Coturnix japonica: one gene and its partners. The main gene of each other region encodes a partner of the protein of the gene in region 3 in a complex. Links are inferred from orthologs where the notes say so. Each region holds a gene or a part of one and is shown on either strand. Other genes may lie near its edges. The genes, in order: RBM48, BCAS2, RNF113A, RBM22, CRIPT, SNRPG and SNRPF.

Evidence for each region.
Region 1: RNF113A (region 3) and RBM48 share a complex: the UniProt entries of both Homo sapiens proteins name them as parts of the minor spliceosome. The link is inferred for Coturnix japonica from reciprocal best matches to the Homo sapiens genes RNF113A and RBM48.
Region 2: RNF113A (region 3) and BCAS2 share a complex: the UniProt entries of both Homo sapiens proteins name them as parts of the pre-catalytic and catalytic spliceosome complex. The link is inferred for Coturnix japonica from reciprocal best matches to the Homo sapiens genes RNF113A and BCAS2.
Region 4: RNF113A (region 3) and RBM22 share a complex: the UniProt entries of both Homo sapiens proteins name them as parts of the pre-catalytic and catalytic spliceosome complex. The link is inferred for Coturnix japonica from reciprocal best matches to the Homo sapiens genes RNF113A and RBM22.
Region 5: RNF113A (region 3) and CRIPT share a complex: the UniProt entries of both Homo sapiens proteins name them as parts of the minor spliceosome. The link is inferred for Coturnix japonica from reciprocal best matches to the Homo sapiens genes RNF113A and CRIPT.
Region 6: RNF113A (region 3) and SNRPG share a complex: the UniProt entries of both Homo sapiens proteins name them as parts of the minor spliceosome. The link is inferred for Coturnix japonica from reciprocal best matches to the Homo sapiens genes RNF113A and SNRPG.
Region 7: RNF113A (region 3) and SNRPF share a complex: the UniProt entries of both Homo sapiens proteins name them as parts of the minor spliceosome. The link is inferred for Coturnix japonica from reciprocal best matches to the Homo sapiens genes RNF113A and SNRPF.

What each region holds. Positions count from the first base shown.
Region 1 is NC_029517.1:20,669,018-20,673,030, reverse strand, and holds the start of RBM48 (RNA-binding protein 48), read right to left. Parts: upstream 2,801-4,013; 5' UTR 2,599-2,800; coding exon 2,473-2,598; coding exon of another isoform or gene 2,383-2,472; exon of another isoform or gene 2,361-2,382; intron 2,303-2,360; exon of another isoform or gene 2,274-2,302; coding exon of another isoform or gene 2,160-2,273; intron 1,517-2,159; coding exon 1,326-1,516; intron 1,200-1,325; coding exon 1,054-1,199; intron 385-1,053; coding exon 1-384. Other genes in the region: PEX1 (peroxisome biogenesis factor 1), read left to right, coding at 2,383-2,511, 2,801-2,944, 3,038-3,121, 3,362-3,476, 3,566-4,013. UniProt on the Homo sapiens protein: As a component of the minor spliceosome, involved in the splicing of U12-type introns in pre-mRNAs.
Region 2 is NC_029541.1:3,877,562-3,881,117, reverse strand, and holds BCAS2 (pre-mRNA-splicing factor SPF27), read left to right. Parts: upstream 1-1,143; 5' UTR 1,144-1,187; coding exon 1,188-1,280; intron 1,281-1,355; coding exon 1,356-1,448; intron 1,449-1,653; coding exon 1,654-1,724; intron 1,725-1,785; coding exon 1,786-1,947; intron 1,948-2,227; coding exon 2,228-2,278; intron 2,279-2,445; coding exon 2,446-2,526; intron 2,527-2,841; coding exon 2,842-2,968; 3' UTR 2,969-3,056; downstream 3,057-3,556. Other genes in the region: DENND2C (DENN domain-containing protein 2C), read left to right, coding at 35-274, 511-597, 939-970; E3 ubiquitin-protein ligase TRIM33, read left to right, coding at 3,342-3,556. UniProt on the Homo sapiens protein: Required for pre-mRNA splicing as component of the activated spliceosome. Component of the PRP19-CDC5L complex that forms an integral part of the spliceosome and is required for activating pre-mRNA splicing.
Region 3 is NC_029542.1:2,233,439-2,236,938, reverse strand, and holds part of RNF113A (E3 ubiquitin-protein ligase RNF113A), read right to left. Parts: intron 2,825-3,500; coding exon 2,731-2,824; intron 2,322-2,730; coding exon 2,215-2,321; intron 1,779-2,214; coding exon 1,693-1,778; 3' UTR 1,519-1,692; intron 12-1,518; exon of another isoform or gene 1-11. UniProt on the Homo sapiens protein: Required for pre-mRNA splicing as component of the spliceosome. As a component of the minor spliceosome, involved in the splicing of U12-type introns in pre-mRNAs. E3 ubiquitin-protein ligase that catalyzes the transfer of ubiquitin onto target proteins.
Region 4 is NC_029528.1:4,991,932-4,996,036, reverse strand, and holds the start of RBM22 (pre-mRNA-splicing factor RBM22), read left to right. Parts: upstream 1-1,305; 5' UTR 1,306-1,376; coding exon 1,377-1,430; intron 1,431-1,981; coding exon 1,982-2,035; intron 2,036-2,991; coding exon 2,992-3,021; intron 3,022-3,985; coding exon 3,986-4,105. UniProt on the Homo sapiens protein: Required for pre-mRNA splicing as component of the activated spliceosome. Involved in the first step of pre-mRNA splicing.
Region 5 is NC_029518.1:23,890,184-23,894,194, reverse strand, and holds the start of CRIPT (cysteine-rich PDZ-binding protein), read right to left. Parts: upstream 2,801-4,011; 5' UTR 2,768-2,800; coding exon 2,698-2,767; intron 2,604-2,697; coding exon 2,538-2,603; intron 1,873-2,537; coding exon 1,818-1,872; intron 1,081-1,817; coding exon 977-1,080; intron 1-976. Other genes in the region: PIGF (phosphatidylinositol-glycan biosynthesis class F protein), read left to right, coding at 3,000-3,227. UniProt on the Homo sapiens protein: As a component of the minor spliceosome, involved in the splicing of U12-type introns in pre-mRNAs. Involved in the cytoskeletal anchoring of DLG4 in excitatory synapses.
Region 6 is NC_029537.1:791,647-794,573, forward strand, and holds SNRPG (small nuclear ribonucleoprotein G), read left to right. Parts: upstream 1-1,176; 5' UTR 1,177-1,263; coding exon 1,264-1,295; intron 1,296-1,492; coding exon 1,493-1,515; intron 1,516-1,644; coding exon 1,645-1,769; intron 1,770-2,254; coding exon 2,255-2,305; 3' UTR 2,306-2,427; downstream 2,428-2,927. Other genes in the region: protein FAM136A, read left to right, coding at 85-273. UniProt on the Homo sapiens protein: Plays a role in pre-mRNA splicing as a core component of the spliceosomal U1, U2, U4 and U5 small nuclear ribonucleoproteins (snRNPs), the building blocks of the spliceosome.
Region 7 is NC_029516.1:41,570,004-41,573,029, forward strand, and holds SNRPF (small nuclear ribonucleoprotein F), read left to right. Parts: upstream 1-1,393; 5' UTR 1,394-1,547; coding exon 1,548-1,550; intron 1,551-1,634; coding exon 1,635-1,760; intron 1,761-1,861; coding exon 1,862-1,926; intron 1,927-2,400; coding exon 2,401-2,467; 3' UTR 2,468-2,526; downstream 2,527-3,026. UniProt on the Homo sapiens protein: Plays a role in pre-mRNA splicing as a core component of the spliceosomal U1, U2, U4 and U5 small nuclear ribonucleoproteins (snRNPs), the building blocks of the spliceosome.

The DNA of each region.
Region 1 (4,013 bases), on a different chromosome or scaffold from region 3:
TGTTACCCTCTTCTCTCTTCCTCTTACGTTCCTGCAGGTGAGTTGTACGAGGCATAAACCTGTCAATGCCGTTATCAGCTGGAACTGTTCTTTGCTGAATTAAAGGCACTGGTGCAGCACATCCTCCTGGATGCGCCTTCTGAGTTAGGGATGAGCTTTGACTGGAGTTCCCAGAGGTTTCAGCACTGGGGTTGTCGCAGTGGGGAAAAGCCAAAAGGTCCTGACTGTGATTGCCAGAAGGATATTCCATGTTTTGGGACAACCCATGAGGAACTGGAAAGCAGGATGGATCCCAGTGAGTGGCTGCATGTGATCCTGGGGTACTCCACTGAGAATCAGACTTGGTCCTCCGAGGCCTCTCTGTTTTCTTCAACAGAAAGCAGTCTTTAAAACAACAAGAAAAGAAAAGGAAAACAGCTTCATTATTTTATGCCACTGTTAGTTCTAATACATAAAGTGTTCAATACAGTGACAGAAATAATACCAGCAATACTTCATTCCCAGTCACCTTCCTGTGATTCTGCTTAAGCAGCACCTGCAGTGGATAATGATATCCAAGTACATAAGCATAGGAAAGGAGAAGCCTGTGCCTGGCATTGTACTTATTTTACAGCTTGTCCAGCCTTCAGCGCTGCCTGGGAACTCAGCAGCAAAGCTGCCTGTCAGCCCAATCCATTCCTCGTGTTCCTTACTGACCCAAATGACAGGCAGGAAATAAGGGGCAGGGAGGGGGCTCTCTTACTAATCTCTCTTTTTGGGTATGCCTGAAAGAACTGTAACAAGGGGAACAAACTGATCCTCAGTTTCCTGGCAGTACTTAAAATTTCAGGTAACGTTTTGAAAAGAAATGAAGGAAACAATGAGGTTTAAAAGCTTTAAAGTGCATGTTAACTAAAACGTTGCTTTCTGAAAGGTCCATCTCTAGGAATAACTGAGAAATGTCCTAATGTAAAACAGCTAAACACAGTATATTTTCATCAATGGATGCTTTTGGCTTTACCAAGACGTACCAACCACTGGAATTAAAACTGGACATGAGATTTAACTACAAACCTCTTTGATTTGTTGCTTTTGCAATATACTTCCTTCTGTCCTGCAGCTTCTCCCTGGTTTCTTGGACTGTTTCAAATTCTGGAGCGTAGCACACGTGCAGCAAACTCCCAAAGAAACTGCGCTCATCCATCTTCTTCTTGGCCACCCTGAAGGAAACTAAATGGCATTAGCAGAGCTGAGGGTTTTACTTCAACTCTGTATGATGTAGATCATACATAAAGGGGCCGTGAAGGATTAAAACAACAAAAGGCAGATAGTGCTGTGTATAATACCTGGCACATTGCAGATTCTGGAATTTTATCAGATAAACTTCAGTGAACTGCTCTGCGGGATATTCATCAAGTGCATGGTACTCTTCTATGGCTCCGTACAAGGCAAACTGCTCCACTAACTCCTTCATGACGCCCAGCGCAGGAACTCCCTGGATTAGTAAATAACGCGATTCCAAGTTGATGGTGTACACCTGAAAGAAGCACAGGACAATCACAGAATTGTAGGGGTTGGAAGGGACCTCTAGAGATCATCAGTCCAACCCCCTGCCAAAGCAGGCTCCCTACACCATGTCACACAGGTAGGCGTCCAGGCGGGTCTTCAATATCTCCAGAGAAGGAGACTCCACCACCTCCCTGGGCAGCCTGTTCCAGTGCTCCGTCACCCTCACTGTAAAGAAGTTCTTCCACACATTAATGCAGAACTTCCTATGCTGTAGTTTCATCCCATTACCCCTAGTCCTGTCCCCACGCACTACTGAAAAGAGACCAGCCTCACCACTATGGCTTCCCCACCTCAGGTATTTATAAACCTGGATCAAGTCCCCTCTCAGCCTTCTTTTCTCAAGGCTAAACAGACCCACTTCCCTAAGTCTCTCCTCATAGGGGAGATGCTGTTCAATGCTCTAAAATGCCCACGTTTACCTCACTGCGAAAACAACAACTCAAAGCGTTCGTGCTGCCCGCTGTGTGGAGCCACCGCGGGCAGGGATGAACTCAAGCAGGGATGAACACATCACAGAACATCAGCTGGAGCTGATGCTTCTCCAGATGTCAGAGCACCGACACCTGCGGACTAAACAAGTCTCCAGCAGCCCACCCGCCCTCACCCCGCACCTTGACGGCCCTGGGTCGCCGCCCCTCGCGGTACTTGGCCCTGGACCCGCATGCTCCCAGCTGCTGGTGGTGCCTACACGCCTCCCCCGGCCCGCCAGCACCGCCCGCCGCCATCTTCCCGGCCGCCACCGCGGCTCCGGTCGGCTCTTCCGGGAAGGAAGTGGGCGCTGCCGAGAAGCCGGGCGGAACGAGCAACTACAGCCCGGCCCACCCGGCTGGCGGCATGTGGGGCAGCGGTAACCCCGGCGGAGGGGCCGCTGGAGTCGCCGCGGTGACGGTGGTGCTGAGCGGGACCCGGGACTGCTTCCTTCACCTGCCCGCCGTGCTGGCCTCGCACCTCCGCCTGCAGCAGGTACGGGGACGAGATGGGGGCGGCCCGTTCGGAGGGGATTGTGGGAGAGAGGTTCTCCTTCCTCCCCCCATCGTATCCCGTCATCATGGCGGTGCTCAGAGCCCTCCTCGAGAGGACGCACAGTCACCACAGCGACAGCGCAGGGCAACCAGCCGCCCCCCGCACTGTCGCTGTGGTGACTGTGCATCCTCCGAACGGGCCGGGACCCCTCGCCCCTGGACCCAGATGGGTCTGAGTATTTCTGAGTATGATTTGATAGTAATTCGTTTCATCTGCCTGATAATCACAGGGCCAAGCTGTCAAAGTATCCTGCCGTGATGAGCCCATCTACCTGAGCTGGATGGAAATGAGGCATCGAGGTCAGCGGGGTGAAAATATCGCAGAGATGAACAGGCATTTAGCAGAGAAGCTTGGCATTGCAGATGGAGAACAGGTTTGAAATGCAGGTCCCTTTTTTGAGTTTCTGAGTAGAGGTTTTATGTGTTTAAGGAGTTAAATTATTCAGAAATAATGTTGCTTCTATCAGGTGTTCGTGGAGCCCTGTTCACACGTCTCCTCCTGTCAGCAAGTAGAAGTGGAACCGCTCTCAGCAGATGATTGGGAAATACTGGTAAGAAAACCTGTCCCACTGTTCACATCATTTTCATGCAAATGACAGAGAATGTTGATACAAGCTTTTGTCGCAATCCCCCGTTCTTTTCTGCTCCTAAGCAAATGCTAAGTCTTGTGGGTTTTCATTGTATTTTATGTTTCAAATGGTGTATTAGAAAAAGATGTGAATCTTCTATGTTCAAACACATTTTAAAGGTTGTACAAGTGTGTAGCTTACAATGATACCACACTTTCCCAGGAACTGCACGCTTCCTCTCTTGAAAAGCATCTTCTGGACCAGATCCGAATCGTATTCCCCAAAGCCATCTTTCCTGTTTGGGTTGAACACCACACTCACGTTTACATCAGAATTGGTAAGCAGCAGTGAATGCTTTGCTGGTGCCTTGAGTAAGCTGTTTTGCAAGAGTGGATGCATTCATTCATCTGATTTATCCATACTCAGGTACACTTATGCCAGCAGCCCCCTATGGGAGATTAGAACCTTGCACGGAGCTTCTGATCTGCCCCAAAGCGCGTGAGCTTGAGGAAAACGTCGTAGACATGCCTTCTACAGAAGGTGACATCTTACTCAAGAGCTTTGTGAAGAATAGCATGGAGCAAGACGTAACTGTAAAGGAGCCTTTTGCCAGTCAACCTCACTTAAACCCAGGAGTCCCTGAACAGAGTAAGGCTGATGCAAATGTGACGTTTGGCTCAAGTGTTCTCCCAAATATGTGGAATTTCATAGGGAGCATTTTCTCTCGTACAGCTGAACAGAAACAAAAGACTCTGTGTGATAAGGATGAAATGAGCGCCTTCAAAGACAAGCTGCTGAACTTAATTCACATGGATTCCATTTTTAGAGTATGCCAGTCCCAGCCTCCCAGCGTACAGAACGCATCAGCTGTTCA
Region 2 (3,556 bases), on a different chromosome or scaffold from region 3:
ATGACTCATATTAGAGGGATGTTTCTCCTCACAGGTGATGTCCCTCTTAACTCCCTGGTCTCTGAAGCTTTCGTGCACTTCTTTGTGGAGATCGTGGGTCACTATTCCCTGCACATGAATGTCACAGAGAAAGGAGAGCGGGTGTTCCAGCGGGAGCCATTCCGTAAATCCCACACGTCGCGCAACGTGCGCCATTTCCTGCACTTCTTCATGGAGACGCAGATGTTTGCAGGGTTCATACAGGATCGAGAGCTACGTAAGAGTGCTGTCAAAGGTGAGGCTTTCTTGTTTTACAAAATTCCACATCTCTCATATCTTTAACTCTTACAAAGCCTTTTTGCCCCAGCAGTATTTCCTATTGGCGTATGTTAATAGCTCCATGCCCTTCTAATTATTCAGTAATCTTATTAAGCAGAAGATGCCTTTGTCTCCTGCCTGGCTTCGGTCCTGTGGCCTTACACACACAATGTTAACGCCTGAGGATCTCATCCATCTCTTCTATCTCTTTAGGCCTTTTTGAGGTCCGTGCCTTGGAGTATTTGGAGAGCATCCCCGAGTCTGAGCCCACAGGGATGAACAGAATCCTTCGCACTCTCGGTAAAGAGACACCTCATTTATTTAGCTTATTTCCCTGCAGTATTTCGCTTTGTGCACACATGCTGCTTTCCTTTGCCTCTCCAAGGAGGCTGTGGGAGCCCCATCCCTGCAGGCATTCAAGGCCAGGCTGGATGTGGCTCTGGGCAGCCTGGGCTGCTGGTAGGTGACCCTGCATATAGCAGGGAGTTAGAACTAGATGCATTGTGGCCCTTTTTAACCTTTTTAACCTTTTTAACCCAGGCTGTTCTGTGGTTTTATGTGTGAAACTGTCATTCAGCGTCCAAATGATGCGTCTCGAAGGCTTAACGTGCTTTTTTTCTTGTTGTTTTTCTTTTCTGTAGGAAGTAAGATGAGATTTCTCCAGAAGAAATGAACGTGGAGCCTCAATGAGGCGGTTGGACAACCAACCCCATCCCGGGGCCGGACTCATTGCTCCCTGTGCAGCTGAGGCGGCTCCGTGCCGCCATAACACGCCGCAGTGCCGCAACCAATCAGCGTGTCCTCTCCTCTGTGGGCGGGGCGGGATGAGGGCGGGGCCGCGCCGTGAGTCTAGGCCTGGGGTGTGCGCATGCGCGGTAGTGGTAACCATCATGGCGGGGCCCGGGCTGGTGGCGGGGGACGTGGTGGTGGATGCGCTGCCGTACTTCGATCAGGGATACGAGGCGCCGGGCGTGCGGGAGGCGGTGAGTGCGGGCCGGGTCGGGCCGAGCCGGGTTGGGCTGGGCTGAGCTGAGCTGAGGCGGTGCGATCCCGGCTAGGCTGCGGCTCTGGTGGAGGAGGAGACGCGGCGCTACCGGCCCACGAAGAACTACCTGAGCTACCTGCCGGCACACGACTGCAGCGCCTTCGAGGTGAGCCAACACGGCCAGCCGCCCCTCAGTGCCCCTCATTGCCCCTCATTGACCCTCATTGACCCTCAGTGCCCCTCAGTGCCCCTCAGTGCCCCTCATTGCCCCTCAGTGCCCCTCATTGCCCCTCAGTGCCCCTCACGGCCCCTCACGGCCCCTCACAACCCCTCATTGACACTCACGGCCCCTTATTGCCCTCTCCCTGCAGACCGAGATCATGCGGAACGAGTTTGAGCGCCTGGCGGCCCGGCAGCCCCTGGAGCTGCTCAGCATGAAGAGGTGAGTGAGGGGGGGCTCCTGGTCTGGCTCTGGGTGGGATCCGAACCGTGCTCCGTTCCAGGTATGAACTACCGGCTCCATCCTCCGGGCAGAAGAACGACATCACGGCGTGGCAGGAGTGTGTTAACAACTCCATGGCGCAGCTGGAGCACCAGGCAGTGCGCATTGAGAACCTGGAGCTGATGTCCCAGCACGGCTGCAACGCCTGGAAGGTGTACAATGAGTAAGGCTGGGGATGGAGAGACAGCATGGGAAATGGTGGTGTGGTGGCTGCAGATAATGCTGTCCTGATCCTCCTCACCTGAAGCCACTGTTGAAATGGCTAAGAAACACATGGAAGTGTGGCTTTGAGAAGCTCTGGGGCTGTTTCAGACAGCTGCTTGCCTTTAGTGGATGGCTGCATGCTGGGCTCTTCTAGGAGGGTTATATGTGAGGCTGGTTAAATTGATCTTATTTAGTAACTGTGTGTTTTTTCTCTTGCTTTGCTTCCATTCTGCTCTCAGACACCTGGTTCATATGATAGAACAAGCCCAGAAGGAGCTTCAGAGGTTGCGGTGAGTGGTTTTTCATAGCTCTATACAGAGGTTGGAAGGGATATAGAAACTCCTACTTTGGGGTAGGAGCTTCCAGGGCAGCCAATTTCAAACTGCATTCATGAGTAAATGAGATGAAGGAGGACAAGACCAACACAGGTCTCTTCATGTTGTTTTTTTCCCCTCAGGAAAAGCATTCAGGATCTGAACTGGCAACGAAAGAACATGCAGCTGACAGCAGGAGCGAAGCTACGAGAGATGGAATCCACGTGAGTAGCTGGGATTTATTCTAACACCCCCTTACGGGGAACAGTGCTGTCATAGCAAACCATCACACGGCTGCTATTGGTTTGCACAGGGTGCTTTAGAGGGTGCATGGTTCAGCTCCGTGTTGATGGTTTTTAGCCCTTTTTTCCTTACAACGTTTCATTTCCTGCATTATACATTGAGGTTTAATAGTTGGAAGCATCTTGTAACCTTGTTCAGGTTGCTCCTGCTGTCAGCTGAGCTGTGTTGGGGCTGATGTTGGTGTTGTGCTTTGTTATGGCAAACACCTTAATGCTCTATGAATCATTCCCTTGCAGCTGGGTGTCCCTTGTCAGTAAGAACTACGAGATTGAACGGACCATTGTACAGCTGGAGAACGAGATATCCCAGATCAAACAGCAGCACGGGGAGGCCAACAAGGAGAACATCCAGCAGGACTTCTGAACGCTGCTCCCTCCTGAACTCCGTGTTTGTACGTTTCCTACGGCGCTGTAATAAACTGCTTTGCCCAATAAAGGCTGCTTATCTCCCCTCCTGGCTGATAAGGGCTGTTCAGCGCCGGGCTTATCAGCAGCTTATCAGCAGCGCTGCGACTTGTGGCTGCGGCCTCCACCCGCGTGGGGGCGCTCGCGGCCGGTCGGTAATTGCGTTTGAGAGGTGTGGGCGGCGCTCTATCCGGCGGTGCGTCACGTGACGTCACGTCTCGTCTGTCCACGCCTGCGCGCGCCCCCGCCCCGCCCTCCCGCCGTGGAGCGCGCACGTCGCGTGGTGACGCAGTGCGTGAGCGGAGCGGGGAGTTGGGTTCAAAGGAGGAAACATGGCGGAAAACAAAGGAGGCGGCGGCGGCGGGGAGGGGGCGGCCGAGCCCGGGCCGGGCGGAGCCGGCTCCATTGAGCCCGCGGCCGCGTCCCCTTCGGCTGCGGCGCCGCCAGCGCCATCCGCGGCGCCTCCGGAGGAGCGGGAGAGCCCCGGAGCGGCACCGGCGGCGGAGCGTGGGCTCGGGGAGGCCGAGGCCGAGGCGGGGCCCGGGGT
Region 3 (3,500 bases):
CTCGTCTCACAGGTGAAGGCTGCACGACCCTATTTTTTTATATGTATTTTTTAAAGGGTGCCTTAGAGTTAAGAAGGGGAGGAAAGCAGTTCTTAGTTTTGGGCATTTTCTTAGAGCTAGTCGGATTTGTGTTGTTACTGGGTAACTTCTGAGGGTGCAGAAAGGAGTGCATTCTTAAGCTTGGTCACTTCTTTATGGTGGAAAATGAGAACCAGAAGGTAACCTGAGGCTGTCGCGGGCACATTCACTGCACTGGGCTTTCCTCTGCACTTCTGAGCTCTGCTCCAGCTCTGGAGAGAGCTTTTAAGACTCCTCTCAGTTGAGGCTGTGTGCTCTGAGCTCCAGGTCAGATGCCATCCCCATCTCCTCCCATGGCTGCCTGGGTCATCAAATCCTAATGTGTAATTCTGTGCAACATACCAGCTTTTCTAACCTCCCACAGCACATCCAGCTCAGCCTCCTGTTAGCTGGGCTGCTTTTACAGCATGGAATATCCATACCAGCCCGTGCTCAGTGACTTGGCATGGAGGGAAAGTAATTTTCACACCAAATCCTCTTACTCACAAAACACCTCTTTGAATGTTACGCTCACTGATCTAAGCCCTCTGTTGCCATTGCTGTACCATCATCCCCAAATGAATGAGATATAAAAATCCTTTGCTTGCTTTTCACACAGCTTCCCTTGATCCCTGGCTGTGACAGCTCACAGCATTTGGTTTTGGAGGCGTGTTTAAGGCTTTTTAGTTTGACCTTTCCAAGGACCACAGGTGCTGGAGCTCTTTCCACTCTCAAATGAAGCACTGGGATTCCAGCCCTGTAAGCGTGCTTGATGGGAGGAGCGGTGCTGACAGCAGGTCCTTCTGTTTGTAAACGACTTGAAGCCAGATGAAATTTGTTACTCTAGTTTTTGGGTTTTTTTTTTTTTTTTTTCCAAAATAAAATATTTCTGAAGTTTGTAAGTCTGCTGTTTCTGCAGGGTGATGGAAGCTTATGCTCTTCTCAGCTCCATACTTAGGAGGTTGCATCTTGCAGTTCAACCCATTGTGAAGTTTCCTTCTTGCCCAAATTCTTATCCCCATCCCACAGGCCTGGACAGAGCTGGTTGCAGCAAGGGAAAAATCATTGAGAGAAGTACCACTGATGGCATAAAACCTTGCATTAGGGACATGGTACAGCTGCTGGCTTCCTCCCCAAGGGATGATTCCACAGTGGTATCACTCTCTGAAGTCCTGAATCCTGTTTGATGTTACTTTAAGCTCTTGACTTCTAGAGATCAAAAGGCAGCAGAAAAGATGGGAGGGAATACGCTCCTCTGAGCTGCAATAAATCACAACTAACTGCAGCAGTCTGGCTTACCTCCCAAACAGCATTTCCAAAGTGACAGATAAACTTGGTACAAGCCAATAGTTTTCATTCTTCTCTCTGCTTTTAGCATTTGATTTGACTGAACAAAATTCAGACCCTCCCTCCCCAGGCCCTCGTGGTCCTACTAATGGCACAGAAGACAACTCAGCTTACCCATTCTGTCCTGTGTCTTCTCTGACAACTGGCACCACTCGTGCCCCCATTTTAACAAGGCCTGGTTGGATGAACCACCAATGGCTGCAGCTGCTGGCCCAAAGGCAAGTGCTGTGATCTGTGCATTCTTCCCATGAAAACTTTATTGGGCTCCATACAAAACAGAGTGCTTTGCTAGTGTGGGTCTTCACCATGTTCTGAGTGGTCTGACTCCTCCTCTTCCTCCTCCCCTTTGTGTTTTTCCAATTTTGCCATGAGCTCTGAAAAGCAGGAAGATGCAGGATGAGATTCCAGGTGCAACATGGAATGGCCAGTAGCAAAGCTGGATGCCCAGGACCTGCCAACACAGCTCTGTCCTGGAACCAAAGCACCTACCAAAAATCACTCATCTGCACAAAAGCTAAGCCAGGAACTACCACCAAACACTGAGCCCTTCAGTGGGGCTTCAGATGCTAAAGTTCCAGGCTCTGTCAGTGGATTACTGACCAGAAGAGCTACTGTCTGCACTCCCAGCACCCTCACCAGAAATCAGTCTCCCCCTCTGGGCAAACACAAACACTCTTTTTTTACCCCTGTGGTGGCACCCAGGCCCTGATGTGGTGTTTCCAAGCACTGAGAGAAGTTCTGCCTGTGAGCTCCACCTTGCAGCCGAATGCTGTGATCATACAGCAGCTCTATCCCACAGGTGGCCGTTACCTTTGGCTGGGTTGAAGACTCCATTGGTCTGCTTATCACACACGTAACAGCGCTGGGATTTGCGATAGTGTTGGAGGGCACAGCTCTCACAGAAGTAATGCCTGCACCTGTATGGAGAAACAGACGGTACTGCCAGTCACCAGATACAACTGCTGCATCCAGGAGTTAGAGATCATCAACTACTGAGCCCTGAGGGATGCAAAAATAAGCTGGATGTACAGAGCCCTATGCAGCATCAGCTCTCCCAGAGACAGCACAGGTGCAAGGTGATGTGATCAGGCAGCATCTATAGAAATATAAAAGGTTCTTGGACAACAAAGGCTTGAGACCCCACCAAGTTGATGCTTGAGATGTAGTTATGAAACTCCCTGCATAGCAGAGGCTTTCCCCACCCACCAGAAAAGCAAACAAGCGTGCTCCTTCCACCAGCATGTGGACAATGCCAGTGTTTGCTACCAAAGAGAATGACTGACTGACTGAAGGACTCAGCCCACTACAGATGTTTTGGCTCCTTACTTGGTGACCACGGGGTTCTTGAAGGAACTTCTGCAGATGAAGCATTTGAAAGGCATATCCTCCTCATCGCTGCTCACCTCATAGTTCTCTTCATCTGCACGAGGGAAAATTAACCAGACTGGAACAAGAGCAGAGGCAGCCAGGCCAGCAGATGCACAGGGCATGAAATATGGAACATGGAGAAAGTACAGCAGGTGGGATGGACTCTGCTGGAAACAACAGCATCTGGGTGTCACTGATGTCAGTAACGTGTGTGGGATTGAGATATAATTAGGTCTAATGAGCCAGTGTGCTCGTTGCTCATCTCACAGGAGCACATTTTGTGCGACACCCACTTGCTGCTATAAACAGACTCATCCTCCAGTTCCTTATTTTTCACATTTTTTTCCAAAACAGCTGCTATTGAACTCTTCAACTCAGAGAACATCCCCTGCAGCTGCCCAGCAGTTCATAAGCTACACTTGGCTGCATCCCTGGGCCACAGATATGGATTCTGAGTGAGAAACAGGGATGTGACAAAGCATGAAAGCATTCCATCTGTGCTGCAGGAGATGGCTCTATCTATCTCCCCATCTCCACGCTGCTTGCTGCTGGGATTCATACAACAACAGACTGCTATATTTTGTATAGACAGACAGAGCAAATTATCCCCCCTGGTAGCAGTCAGTGGTAATCTGAAAGCAGCAGATTTGCACAGCACTGGCAGTTGTTATTGGAGCTAAGGTAACTCCACAGCAGAGAGTTCCATAGCTTTGTGGAATGAGGAATTC
Region 4 (4,105 bases), on a different chromosome or scaffold from region 3:
GTGATATACTGCAGTGTTCACGGATCTGAGTGGCCGCCAACCGCACTGTAGGCTCGTTGTGTTGCAAGGTGGATGTGGTAGTGTGAATTGTTAGAAGCTGGGAAGTCCCATTGTGCTACGTTTCTTTACTGAGGTGAGAGTGGTCCTGAGAGGCTGCCTGTCAGTCTTTGTGTTAATAAATGTGTGTTAATAGGGATATAGCAATCAGTACTAAGCTCAGAGCATTGAGATTAGTTCTAGCATACTAAAAAACTACAGGGGCTGTCCAAGTTCATACTGTCTTTTCCAGCTGTGGGGTTGGGGGTATAAAGGAAGAAAGGCTGTTATACTGTAACTAGCATACACTGTACTGCTGTTTATATATATATATATATATATATGGGGTGTAATTCGGCCATAGTCCAAACTGCAACTTTAATTAAGAGTGTATGCAGGATACTGAATGCCAGTTCACTGCAAGTGGGTGAGACTGCTTGTCCTTGGGAGGCTTTAGTTTCATTCCCAGTTCAATGTTTACTTTCATTACCCGTTTCTGATGGGCTTTGATGTGCTGGCTTAGGGTGAAGTTAGTGAGTCAGCCAAGGCCGGCTTTGAGCTTCAAATCCTTATGTGGGATGGGAGGGATAAGGCCACATTGCAAACCGAGCAGCCTTAGTGCCCCTCAAAGGGAAGCACCCACCTCACAGCCCTGCTCCTGCAGCACCTCCCAGAGCAGCAAGTCAGCACGTTTACAACGCCTGGGTTGCACACAGGTGCACAGCATGAGCTGAAGAAGTGTACTTTGTATTTATTTATGTATAACGCTAGTGTCTGCTGCTGTTTTACCTTCCGGATAACAAAACACTTAAGCCTTGGCCATGAGTTCTCTCCTTAGCCAAACTAGTAACACTACTACCTATGGAAGCAGCTATTGGGACGCTGATGGAGCCCTGTGGCTGCAGCTCCCGGTTGGGCCGGGTTTGTCCCCTTTAGGTGCTTGTAGGCGATAGGAATTGCCGTCAGCTCTGTCTGTCCGTCTGTCCGTCCTTTCTCCCGGGGCTCAGGAGTTCTCGGTGTTAATGACAGGCGGCTGTTTGCCTTATTGCTTATAACTTCATGTAGTAACCTTCAATAAAGCGACCTTGGCTCTCAGGCTCTGCGCTGTTATTTACACCGCCGTTAGTGGGGAAATAGTGATAATTAGAACATAAAGAGCTGAGCACCCCCCAATGCTTTTGTCCCTATTGCCATTCATTCCGCCACTCCGGCTCAACTCTATGGTTAGCAGAGCCTAGAGCGCCCCCGCCGCTCTTCCTGCACGGAAGTGCCATCCCGCAGCGGAAGTGACATCACTTCCGGGTCCCGCCGCCTGCCGGGATCGAGGCGGAGGGGCCGCCATGTCGACATCGCTGGGCTCCAACACTTACAACAGGCAGAACTGGGAGGATGCGGTGAGTGGGACGGGATCCGGCCGGCAGTGCAGTGCCGTGATCTGTATGGGGGCTGTGCTCTGGATGGGGGCTGGGAGCTGCATGGGGGCTGGGCCGGCGCCATGGGGCACTCAGGGCTGGGGGTGGCCTGTGTGTGTGTGTGTGAGGTGTGTGAGGTGGGTGTTAGAACGGGCCTGGCTGCTGTGCTGCCATCATTATAATAAGGATAAGGGAACAAGGGAACAAGGACGTGGGCTGCAGCTGCTCACACGGCCTCTATGAGCAGATTCTGTTGGCTCCTTGCTCAGTCAGGCTGGGTTTGCTCGGCAGGGTGGATGCCCCGTCCTTGGAGGTGTTCAAGGCCAGATTGGACGGGGCCCTGGGCAACCTGATCTATAAAGGTGTATGTTTGTTGGCCCTGCCAGGCAGGGGGGTTGGAACTACATGATCCTTGAGGTCCCTTCCAACCCGGGTCATTCTGTGATTCAGGGTGAGCACTGAGGGCTGATTCCATTGTTATCGTGATGGTTTGGTCGCTCTGTGCACATTTTCCTTCTTTTTCCTCCTCTCAGGACTTCCCCATTCTGTGCCAGACGTGTCTCGGAGAAAACCCATACATTCGCATGGTATGTGCTATGTGCTGCTTGGACAGTGCGGCCCTGTACTCTGTGTTGGGTGCTGATTAACACTGAACTCTTTGCTTCTGAGTGCTCAAGCAAGGGGGGATGCTGAGGACATGTGCATTCCTGGCCATTTGGCCGTGCACTGCAGGGTTCACTTCATGCCTTTGTTAGTGCATCATGTCATGGTGGTCGGTGCAGGTTTATAACAATAACTCAGTCAAAAAGCTGAGCAGGATGTCACGCTGTAATGTCTGCAGTGCAGGAAATACCAGTAAAGCTTTGATACCAGTAAGTCGTGTGACGTGGGAAGCAACGAGCTGCTGGGATATTAAATAGATGAGCACCATTTCTAACGTGCATAACATGAAAATGAACCTGAACTGTCATACAAAGGCTGCTGGCAGCAATTTCAGTGCTGTTTTGTTGACTTTGGTTTCATCTGCCCCAGATGAGTCAGGCCATTCCATGTTCCTTTTCTCAGTGCTCAGCCCAATTATGCCATACCTGCAGATTATCTTTGCCTCACATTTCCTTTCCCCAAGTTTGCTGAGAGCTGTTATGTTTTTATGAAGCATGACACGATTGTCAGCATAGATATGTAAAAAATGGCTTGTTTTGGTGCATTTGTTTTATGCAGTTGCATCATCTTCGCTTAAAAATAGCTACTAATGACCTGTTTCATGATCATTTCTCTATGGTACGTGAAGTTGGGCTCATAATACTTTGTTTTAATGGGTGCTTCTAAAACAGAAAACAGGTTGAGAGTTTCTTAGATCTTTGTGGTCCTCTTTGCCAGGCAAGGGGAGATTCTGCTTAAGCACCAAAAGTAGAGGTGAGCCAGTCTACATGTACTATAATAAGAACAGGATCACTGTGCTGTAAGTTCAATGGTACGTTTCATCATTCACAATGTTTTAATATCTCATGTTTTCTCTCCCTTCTTATTTATTATATTTCAGACCAAAGAGAAATATGGAAAAGAATGCAAGGTACGTTGGTTGTCTTTTGAAGAACGAGCTTCTGTATTGGTGAACATCTGGCTGTAATGTGGGTTTTGGTTCTCAAAAGATCTGCTGGCGTCACGAAAGAGTTTATCTTGGCTGAGAGCTTAATGCACACATAACTGCATGGAATGTGAGGTGTATCATCTCCATGTTCATTGTTCTTGAGCTGTAAAAGGTTGTTCTAACGGAGTTAAGATTTGCTCACGTTTATGAGAATTATTAGGTTTTGCTCGAGTATCTTATATTTCCTGTTGCAAGTTTGTTTTTACTGCTATGTGATGTGTAAGTAACAACAGTTTTGGTTTTGCTCTGAATCTGCTGTTTTTTGCCAGCTATCAATTAGTGTTAGTTATTGTATGAAATAAGACAGGTTTGTAACTGAGAGAGCAGGAATTATTTAGCTTTTACTTGACTTGATTTGTCCCTCTGCCCCCTTTATCAGTTGTCACCTGAGGCACAGACAAGGTATGTGCTGAGATCTTGCTTCTGCTCCTCAAATGTGCAGCAGAAGCAGATGCATCTTTCCAACACATAACAAATGGGGCAGTACTTTTTTATCAATAAGCTCTCATTGGGCTTGCTGCTGTTTCAGTGACTGCTCAATTTACACGTAATTGGTAATTTGTCTCTAATAGCTCCACGCTGGAGCTATTATATTCCATCTGGAATAAAAAATGAATCCTTTGAGTAGATCTGCTTTCAGCATTCAGGTTACTTTAATAACTCCAGACCTTCCCAAAGCTTCCTCCTGTCACAGTATGGCAGCAAATAGCAATCAGTATTATCCGGAGCTCTTGAACTTTTTTGCCTAGAACTTTAAGATGATGCAGTTGGACTTAGATTTCAGGGAGGCTGGGCGTGTTTGAGTTGTACGCTTCTATGCAGGAACTCGAGCGGCATCTTGGCTGTGCTGTGATAGCAGTTCACTTGTCTACTTTGTGTCTTTCAGATTTGTGCCAGGCCTTTCACAGTGTTTCGCTGGTGTCCTGGTGTTCGTATGCGTTTCAAGAAAACAGAAGTGTGCCAAACCTGCAGCAAGTTGAAGAATGTCTGTCAAACCTGTCTGCTT
Region 5 (4,011 bases), on a different chromosome or scaffold from region 3:
TAGTAATATGATTTTTAACACAAATTAATAATTGCAATATACATGTAACACTTCCACTTAAAAAATAAACTCTATTTTAAGAGCATTATGATTCACAGCAGCACCTGAAGCCTCGAATTTGCTGAACTACTGGAGGCCAGCCAGGAAAAGGATCCCAACTGGCAAACGGGTAAAAATAGCATATAACTAAACTTTAGAATTCCTGTAGCCTGAGATGGACAGAAAGTAGCAAGGTTAAGGAAATACAGGCGCCAAGAAACTGATTGCTAAATGAAAGATTAACCGGCAACTGAGAAAGCTGAGAAGAATACAGTTTCACAGAATTAAGTTAATTACAGTGTGCGAGAGAGAAATATAATGGACACCAAGAATAGCTGAGAGTTGAAACAGAGAAGACTAATGACCCAGAGGCAGCCCTCCGTTAGCAGACTTCCAAACCATGTACTCAGTGACACAGTGTGAAGTTGTAGAACAATTAACATTATTCCATAAACAAAAATCACTACCAGTTAGCTGTGACTCTACATCTAACAATTCATCCAGCCCATGTCTGCGTGCTGAGTGAATTCTTCAATAGTAAGAAGGTAACCGAGTTCATGTTGCACTATTTTCCCCCCATGGATTACAAGTTTGAGCCATTTTGCTTGCCCCCTGAAATTCACAAGACTGATAAAATTTTATATTCTCCAGTAGAGATTTCATAAGGGTTCTGAGTCCCTGTTATTACAATGTTTGACCACCCTCATGGTGAAAATTATTTTATTCACATGGAATTAAAGAATTCTGCACTCTTCTCCATCACTGTGCACTGTGATGGGGGCTCAGTGCACCTTCTATACCTTCCTATTATTAGCTGAAGACAGTAACTGAATCTCATCACAGCCTTCTCTTTTCCTCACAGAACAAAATCAAAGACTTCTACTTGGTCTCTAATTCCAAATCAAAGCGGGGTAATAAAGTTCTCAGTGAAACTCACCTTTTTTATAGGCACATCCTTGGCAATAGTGAGACCCTGGCTGATGGACAGAACTCTTACAAATTCGACATATTGCAAATTTGTTCTTTCCATAAGGATCAAACCTGGAAAAATGGAGAAGTACTTTGTTTATGCACAGTGAAATAAAGTAATTCCTTCATCTCATACTAAAAATGCTATGCGAGAGGAAATAGACAAAAACTCCAGCAAAAACTGCAATCAAAAACAGGGACATAAAGAGGTCAACTCTAATAGACTACAGAATTTCTACAAAAAACCTCCCATTTTCTCCATTAAGAGAGGTTTCTTGTGTTATAGAAATTAAATTAATAAATGATGAACTAAAACCACACATTGTTCTTAAGATACAAGCCTATTTCAAAGTCAAAATACATTTCAACAATGGCTTGCCCCTGGCATAACAGAATATCCTTTAGACATTAAGGAGATGCTCAAGCGTTTGAACAGGTAATGTTAGCATGGAAGATCACAGAATCATGTGAGTTGGAAGGGACCTTTAAATGTCATCTAGTCCAACTCTCCTGCAACAAACAGAGACAAACAGCCTTTTCAGCCCCTCTCTTAACACAAACAGCAATTCCTACCAATTTTAGGGATGCCCACAGCAATACAGCTGCCCATGCTCTGTAATTCCACAGAAAGCCCCAATGAAATACATAAATACACACTGCCACCAAGGATTAACATGTTAAAAGAAATGAATAAATTAAGTTGTATTTTGGACAAGTTTTGAGGAATTACCCTGCTTTGTGAGAATGCAAGGTCTCAGTTACAGAAAATTGAATTATTTTTTAAGCTGAAATGAGGATTAAATACTAACCTTGCTTTCTTTGAGGTCAACGCCTTGTTTTCATTCAGCTTACGGCCACCGCTTTCTATAAAAAAAATACAACCACAAGGCAATGCATTTCACAGTCCAGCTTCCAACTGCCACATGTGGGCATGTGTGATCAGAGCAAAGTGAAGCATGAAGCACATAGCATGGGCAGGCCCTGCATATCATCCTTCCACATGAGGGGAAAGATCATAATGTAAACATAGAAAGTGTTGGGTTGGAAGGGACCCCCCAGGGATGGTTAAGTTCCAGCACCCTGCCACAGGCAGGGCCACCAACCTCCAGATCTGGTACTAAACCAAGTTTCCTGGGGCTCCATCCAACCTGGTCTTCACCACCTCCACAGCCTCTCTGGGCAGTCTCCCCAGCACCTCACCACTCTGTGTGAAGAGCTTCCCCTAACATCCATCTAAACCTTCCCTCTTTGAGCTTAAAACCATTACCTCTCATTCTATCATTACCTATTCAAGTAAAAAGTTGATTCTCCCCCCCCCCCCCCCCCCCGGTAATGATCCCATTTTAAATACGGAAGGCTGCAATGAGATGGACAAATTCAACGCCAAAAAGCTCGAGGTAAACAACCCTTCACTGCACTCAATGGAAACTACAGCAGTGAAGGGCCAACCCGGTAACTCCAGCAGGCTTTGGGGCTGCCCCCCGAACCCTCCGGACGACCCGCAGGGAACACCCAGCGACCGACACTACCTGTGGTGTTTCTCGCCCCATCCTTCCACGTATCAGGAGTGATCACGGTGCCCAGCTTCCTCTCACCTACGGAAAGAAACACCACGAAATAAACGATTAGAATTGCGCTGCCCTCAGACCCCGCTTAGTGCCGGGATCCCCCCAATCCCACCCTACTCACACTTCTCGCACACCATGGCCGCCCAGCACAACAACCGCCGCTTCCGGACCCGCCCCGGAGCTGACGCCATCCCGTTGCCGGGCGGCCGGCGTCCCGGGTACGGGCCAGGTGGGCCCCGCACGTTGTTAGGCCGCCCCGCGGGGCGAGCCTGACCTAGGACGTTGTGCGAGCGTGAGGGTCGTTAATCTACCACTAAAAAGCCCTTTTCTCCCCCAGAACGCCCTCATTGCCCCGCTGGTGCGGCTGAGTCCCGCTGACCGAGTGCCGCTCGCTGTGTTGCAGGTGGCCGGCGGCACGGCGCCATGAAGGAGGCAGAGCTGAGGAGGCTGCTGGCTGCCAACCTGCTCTGCTTCGTCTCCATCGTCCTGACCGCACTCGTACCGGCCTTGTTCCTGGATGGGTTCTCGGTTTTGGGCACTCACCTCACGTGGCTGTGTGTTTGTTCTGTCTGTGTTAGCGTCCTTAACGTAACCTTGTGTTTAATCCTAAAGCCAAGTCCGTCTTCTAAGAGAAGCTCGCTGTCTAACAAGGTAAGATTTGTTTCTTTCTTAGATTCCTATCGAGTGATGTGGAGAGGATGCTAAGCCTGTCACTGAAATGATGTGATGAGAAAGAAGTTACAACTTCTGGTGGTGAATTCTTGTTTTCCATGAGTTGCAGAGCTTAACTCTGTCTGCACCTGCCAGCAGCCCTCTGGGCTGAGCATCCCTGACACTTCTTGCCCATGGGGTTGTGATTTGTAGTCACAAGTCTATCACTGACTGCATGCTGGTAGGAATTGGGGCACACCAGAGTGGGCACGAAATTCACTTTGCAGTCTAGGCCTGACCTTCGTTATTGCAGAGTATTGCTTTGTTCTTTGTGTAGGAACTGAGATGTAAAATTGGGAACAGCTCATTACTACTAAAACTTGATGAGGCAGTGGCACAGCTGCCCAGAGAAGCTGTGGTGCCCCATCCCCAGAGGTGTTAAGGCCAGGTTGGATGGGGGTCTGGGCAGCCTGAGCTGGTGGTGGCCAGCCCTGCTCATGGCAGGGGGTTGGAAATGGGTGGGCTTTGAGGCCCCCACCAACTGAAGCCATTGTGACTCACTGAAAGTTGGTAAACTATAAAAAGTGAAGTTGAAAAGTGTCAGAACAATTGCATTTCATTGAATGACTAAATCTGCAGAAATTAAATCTGGGAGATTTCTTTGTAGTTACAGTTTGTAATAGGACCATTGAGGGTGTGGATCCTAATTTAACAGGTTAGAGGAGTAAAACATAGCTGGGTCAGGAGTGGTAGAATACAATTTGAAGTCAGCTTAGTCGTGCAA
Region 6 (2,927 bases), on a different chromosome or scaffold from region 3:
TCACCATGGGGGAGCCCCAGAGGTCCCTTCCAACCCCTGTGGTTCTATCACTCTCCTGATCTATGCCCCTTTATCCCCTTGCAGGACCGCCTGAGCCGCTGCACGCTGCACTGCTCTGACAGAGCCAAGGATGCCCTGGAGGCGGGCGGTGGGGAGACAAGGGCACGCTCCCAGCTCGACGCCTGCGTTGCTGCCTGTGGGGACGAGCACCTACGCCTGGTGCCAGGCATGGCCAAGAGGATGCGGGATGGCTTGGCGGCCCTACAGCACTAGCGGGTGCTGTTGGGGTGGGGGAAGGTGGTATTAAAGGCAAGGAGCTGCACTCGTGGTGCTCGAGGGGTGCTGGGGGTTTGGGGTGTGGGGGTGCAAGGTGTGGGGTGGTGGCTGTGTAATGTATGGGGTGGGTGTGTGCAAAGTATGGGGTGATGGCTGTGCAGTGTATAGGGGGTGGGATGAGCCATGCAAATGTGCAGTGTATAGATAGGGTACAGGTGTGCAAAGTGTGGGGTGATGGCTGCGTAAGGTGTGTGCAGGTGTGCAAGGTGTGGGGTAGTGCTTCTGCAGGGTGTGGGGCACTGTGTGCAAAGGGTGCTGGTGTGTAAAGGGTGCAGTGTGCAAAGGGTGCAGTGTGCAAAGGGTGCAGTGTGCAAATGTTGCAGGGTGTGCAAAGGGTGCAGGTGTGCAAAGGGTGCAGGTGTGCAAAGGTGCAGTGTGCAAAGGGTGCAGGTGTGCAAAGGGTGCAGGTGTGCAAATGGTGCAGGGTGTGCAAAGGGTGCAGGGTGTGCAAAGGGTGCAGGGTGTGCAAAGGTGCAGTGTGCAAAGGTGCAGTGTGCAAAGGGTGCAGTGTGCAAATGGTGCAGGGTGTGCAAATGGTGCAGGGTGTGCAAAGGGTGCAGGGTGTGCAAAGGGTGCAGTGTGCAAAGGGTGCACACTGCCAGCTGTGAGCCGATGGCTGTGCAAGGTGTGCACGGTGAGCCGTGCAGGGCTTGCAATACGTGTATCAGTGCCTTTGTGTGTGTGCAATGCCGTGCATACAGTGGGTGTGCAATGCGCGGTGCATGCAATGCAGCAGAGCTGCAGGTCTCCATGCACGTGCTGCATGGGGGCCGCTCCAAACGCGCACGCGCGCCGCGTCCGAGCGCTCTGATTGGCTGCCGGCGAGATGCGAAGGTTGGCGGGAAAAGGGGGCGGGGCTTTGGGCGTAGCGTGCGACGTGATGACGTCATTACGCGGCGCGAGCGGCAGCGGCGCTGAGGAGACGCCATGAGCAAAGCGCACCCACCCGAGCTGAAGAAGTGAGAGCTGGGCCAACATGGGGATGAGGGGGGATGAGGGGGGATAAGGGAGGACTGAAGGGGATGAGGGGGGCCCAGAGGGTCGGGAGGGGCCGTGGGGTCCGGTTCGGGTTCGGTCTGGGTCCGGTTGGGCCCGCAATGATGGCGGTCCCGACCCCACACTGATGCGGCCTGCTCTGTTTGCGCTCTCGTTGCAGGTTCATGGACAAGAAGCTGTCGTGTGAGTCCCGCTGTTATAACGGGGTTGTGCCATGAGCCCACATTCACAAAGCCCCCCCCCCCCCCCCATCCCTCCCTTCCCTTTTAACCCCCCCCTCCCCTTGTTTCTGAATGAGCCGGTTTCTCGTAGTGAAGTTAAATGGCGGCCGCCACGTGCAGGGGATCCTACGGGGCTTCGACCCCTTCATGAACCTGGTGATCGATGAGTGCGTGGAGATGGCGCCTGGAGGGCAGCAGAACAACATCGGGATGGTGGTGAGTGCTGGGGGGGATGGCAGCCCCCAGGCCCACTTTGTGCCTTGGGCTGGGGGCTTTGGGCTTTGGGCTTTGGGCTGGGGGCTTCCTTTCAGTTCAGGCCTCCCAGTGCCCATCCGTGGCCTTGGGCACCTCTAGGAATGGGGAACAGCCTCAGGAGGGCAGAGCAGGATGGGACAGAGCCCTCCGTGTCTGCTGCAGTAACAGAGGGGTGGCAGCCCAGCTGGCTGTGAGGTCACAAGAATACATTGCTGTCTTATATCAAGCTCTCATCCACCTTTTCTATCAACCACCCTCCTGCAGGAGCCTTTTCCAGCCGGCTGACTGCTGCCATGAGCCCCTGCAGTTCTCTCATTCACTTCAGCTCTTGGAGCTGCACATGCCATGCAGCTTTCTAGGAGGAAAAGTCAAAGGGAAAGAAAACCTTCTGTGCTGTGGGCATAACGTGCTTCATCTCACCTCCTGCTGACAACTTCTCTTTGTAGGTAATACGAGGAAACAGCATCATTATGCTGGAAGCTTTGGAACGAGTATAGTGGCAGAGGAACCCTGTAGTGACCCGACCCCGTTGTGTTTTGTTTACTCACCTGAACCTAATGAAGCAACCACAAGTGTAAGCTTATTTTTTGTTAAATAAATTTTGTACTGGTTGGTGTAACCCGTGTGAGCTGTGCTTGGTGGAACTGAAGCCTGGGGCAGTTAATCTTGTGAGTGCAGCAGTGTGTCAGTGGCAGCTTTAAAGCTGGAGGATGGCTTTCAGGCAGCTTTATTTCTTTGAGTGGGTGTTCAAATGATACTGGCTATATCTTTAAACCCCCCCCCATAAATAACAGGCTGTGGCACTTCTATTCCTAGCATTGCTCTGTAAAGAGTGAAGGGGACTGAAATATCTGTCCTGCTCAAGTGTTTGCCTGCAACTTTGTGCTGGTCTCCACCTCTGTGCTGAGGCAAAAGTGGTTTTGGTTATTCTCATTGCCCCCAAGCAGACAGAACAAAGCATTGACCCCAGGGTACCAGCAAGCTTCTAAGAGTTGAATCGTGTTCCAGCACGTACGGACTCCTGTGATGCTGCTAATCTCAGTGCAAGTCCTGCAATTTAGCTTTAATCAAGTGCATTCATCTTTTCTAGCACAGCAAGAGTGAGGCTACACTAGTGGA
Region 7 (3,026 bases), on a different chromosome or scaffold from region 3:
TGTGAGAAACTTTCTTCTAATATCTGACCCAAACCTCCCCATCTCAATTTAAAACCATTCCCCCTTGTCCTACAACCATCCACCCTCATAAACAGTTGTTTCCCTTCCTATTTCTACCCTCCCTTCAAATACTGGAAGGCGACAATGAGTTCTCCCCGGAGCCTTTTCTTCTCCAAGCTAAACAAGCCCAATTCCCCCAACCTTTCTTCATAGGAGAGGTGCTCCACCCCTATGATCATCTTAGTGACCCTCTTATGGACCCATTCCAAGAGTTCCACAGCTTTCTTGTGATGACGGCTCCAGGTCTGGGCACAGTACTGCAGATGGGGCATCACAAGAGCTGAGCAGAGGGGGACGATCACCTCCCTCTCCCTGATGGCCACCCCTTTTTAATGCAGCCCAGCACACCATTGGCCTTCCAGGCTGCAAGCACACACTGCTGGTTCACATCCAGCTTCTCATCCACCAGGACCCCCAAGTCCTTCTCCAAGTCATGCATCAGAGGAACTGACTATATGAAGAAAAGAATGTAGCTGGTCCTGTACTTCTTGGTACACAGCTTTCCCAACACAAGTAGGAGACATGATAAAAGTTGGTTCCAAACCTAAAAAGTGCTGTTTACAGACAAAACACTCATATTGTTCTATTGTCATTCACATATACACCATTAACAACTGTCAGAAAAGTGCAAGTCTTCCATGGCCTTTAACCCAAAGGACTCATGCTGAGCTCATTGCATTCTGACGCCTTGTATGTTTTCACTCCAAGTTCTCTATTCTTTGCTGCAAGGGGCATGAAAACCGTCCATATACACGATTTCCCACATTGTTTATTATTTCCTACATATCCTCAGCACTAACTTCCTTGCAATAAACTTATAAGCAATTCTCTTTCAACTGGCGCCCAGTGAGTTTTACTGTCAGAAAGAAAAAAAAAAGCTTTATTTTAACGTTATCTCTGTTCCCCAGCCAACACATGAGGACAAACACATCCATTATAAATTATCACAGAAACAAATACGAGTGCACTTCAGATAAACATTTATTAAGAAGAATCGTAATTGCTGCTCTTATCCTATCCATCCATAAAGGTAGGGATGTGAGGGGGGACATTCTGGATCTGCAGAAGACACGGTGTGAGGCAGCCGGGGGCTGAGGGAGAGGTGGACAGGGAAGGGGAGGAGAGGGATGGAGGGGCAAAGGCCTAACAGAGCAGAGCGGCGGCACAGTGCTGCGCTGCCACCCCCCGGCCACCACAGACGACACAACCAGAGGTGGTATACGACCATTGGCTGGAGCAATGAGGAGGGCGGCCATTCCAACTAATAAGATTGAGCCCACAACCCCTTTTCCCTTCGCGCTCCGTGGCTCCGTAGCCAATCGCGAAGGCGGCGCGGCGGGGTGAGAGGTTGGAGGTCGGCGCGGCGGCACGGAAGTGGAAGTGGAAGGTATCTCAGCGCTGCCTTCCATTCTGCCTCAGCCCGCGGCGCGCACGAGGCGATCCCGCCTGGCTCTGCGCTTCTCGGGCCGCCATCGCGCCCCATCGCCATGGTGAGGGCAGGGCAGGGCAGGGTGGGGGGAGGCTGTCGTTAGCGGTTGGGATGGCGGGCGGTGCTGACCATTGCTCTCCCCTAGAGCCTGCCGCTCAACCCGAAGCCCTTCCTCAACGGGCTGACGGGGAAACCGGTGATGGTGAAGCTGAAGTGGGGGATGGAGTACAAGGGATACCTCGTCTCCGTCGACGGCTACATGAACATGCAGGTGAGGGATGGAGGGAGGGACCCGGGCCTTGCTTGCTTGTGGGAGGGAAGCAGTAGTGAGGCTCCTGTTGGTGTAATGTTTGTGCTGATTTTCGTTCCAAGCTTGCAAACACAGAAGAGTACATCGATGGAGCACTGTCTGGACACCTGGGAGAAGTTTTGATAAGGTAATCGTGGTGCCTGAGCTGGGGAACGGGGTCTTGTGGGGACTTCTGTGTCTTGTGTTACTGCTTTGTTGAAGCTGGTGGATCTAGGGGATGTGCTTGTGTTTTAAGTTGAAAGAGGGAAGATTTAGGTTGGATGTTAGGGGAAAGTTCTTTACTAGAAGAGTGGTTAGGTCCTGGAACAGGCTGCCCAGTGAGGTTGTGGATGCCCCGTCCTTGGAGGTGTTCAAGACCAGGTTGGACGGGGCCCTGGGCAACCTGATCTAGTAAATGTGTATGTTTGGTGGCCCTGCCAGACAGGGGGGTTGGAACTACATGATCCTTGAGGTCCCTTCCAACCTGGGTAATTCTGTGATTCTGTGTGATTCTGTGTATTGGAGCACTAAATGCTGCTGTAACTCCCATGTGAAGTGAACATTGTATTTGCGAGGGAAATTAAGACATTTCAACTAAGGGAGCTCTTGATTCTATTTACAGGTGCAATAATGTTTTGTACATCAGAGGTGTGGAAGAAGAGGAAGAAGATGGAGAAATGAGAGAATGATGATTTGTATATCTGGAAATAAAGGGTTTTTTTTCTTTTTTTTTTTTTCTTTTCCACAACGTTGTCATCAGGTGTTTATTTTGTTCTTGTATTTGACTATGGGGGGAGTTCACCCAGAGGCTATAAAGAGTCATGAATTTCAGTGGCATTCATAGAGCTAAAACAGCCTGTGGAATGGGAATGCCTGATCTCAATCTGCAGTATTATGGAAAGAACACACAAAACACTAACAACAGGCCACTCTTTGTTATCAGGCATCCAGATAACTGAAGTTTTGGCAGGAACATAATTGCTTTCTCAAATGTTAAGAGCAACCATTGACATTAACCGAAGCTGTTCTGTACCTATCAGCATTTCCTAAAGGTAACCATTGCTTTGCTGATGCTGCTAGTCAGAGCCTCCCCTTGTGAAGGATCTACTTGCATCTCTAGGCTGGAGAGAGGTTCTACAAGCCAAAACACAAATGGCTGTACCTCATGGATTTGTGTGTGACTTTGCGCTGTCTCATCAGTGACCATTTGTCTTACATCTATTCTCAAATACACAGGTATACTTTCAG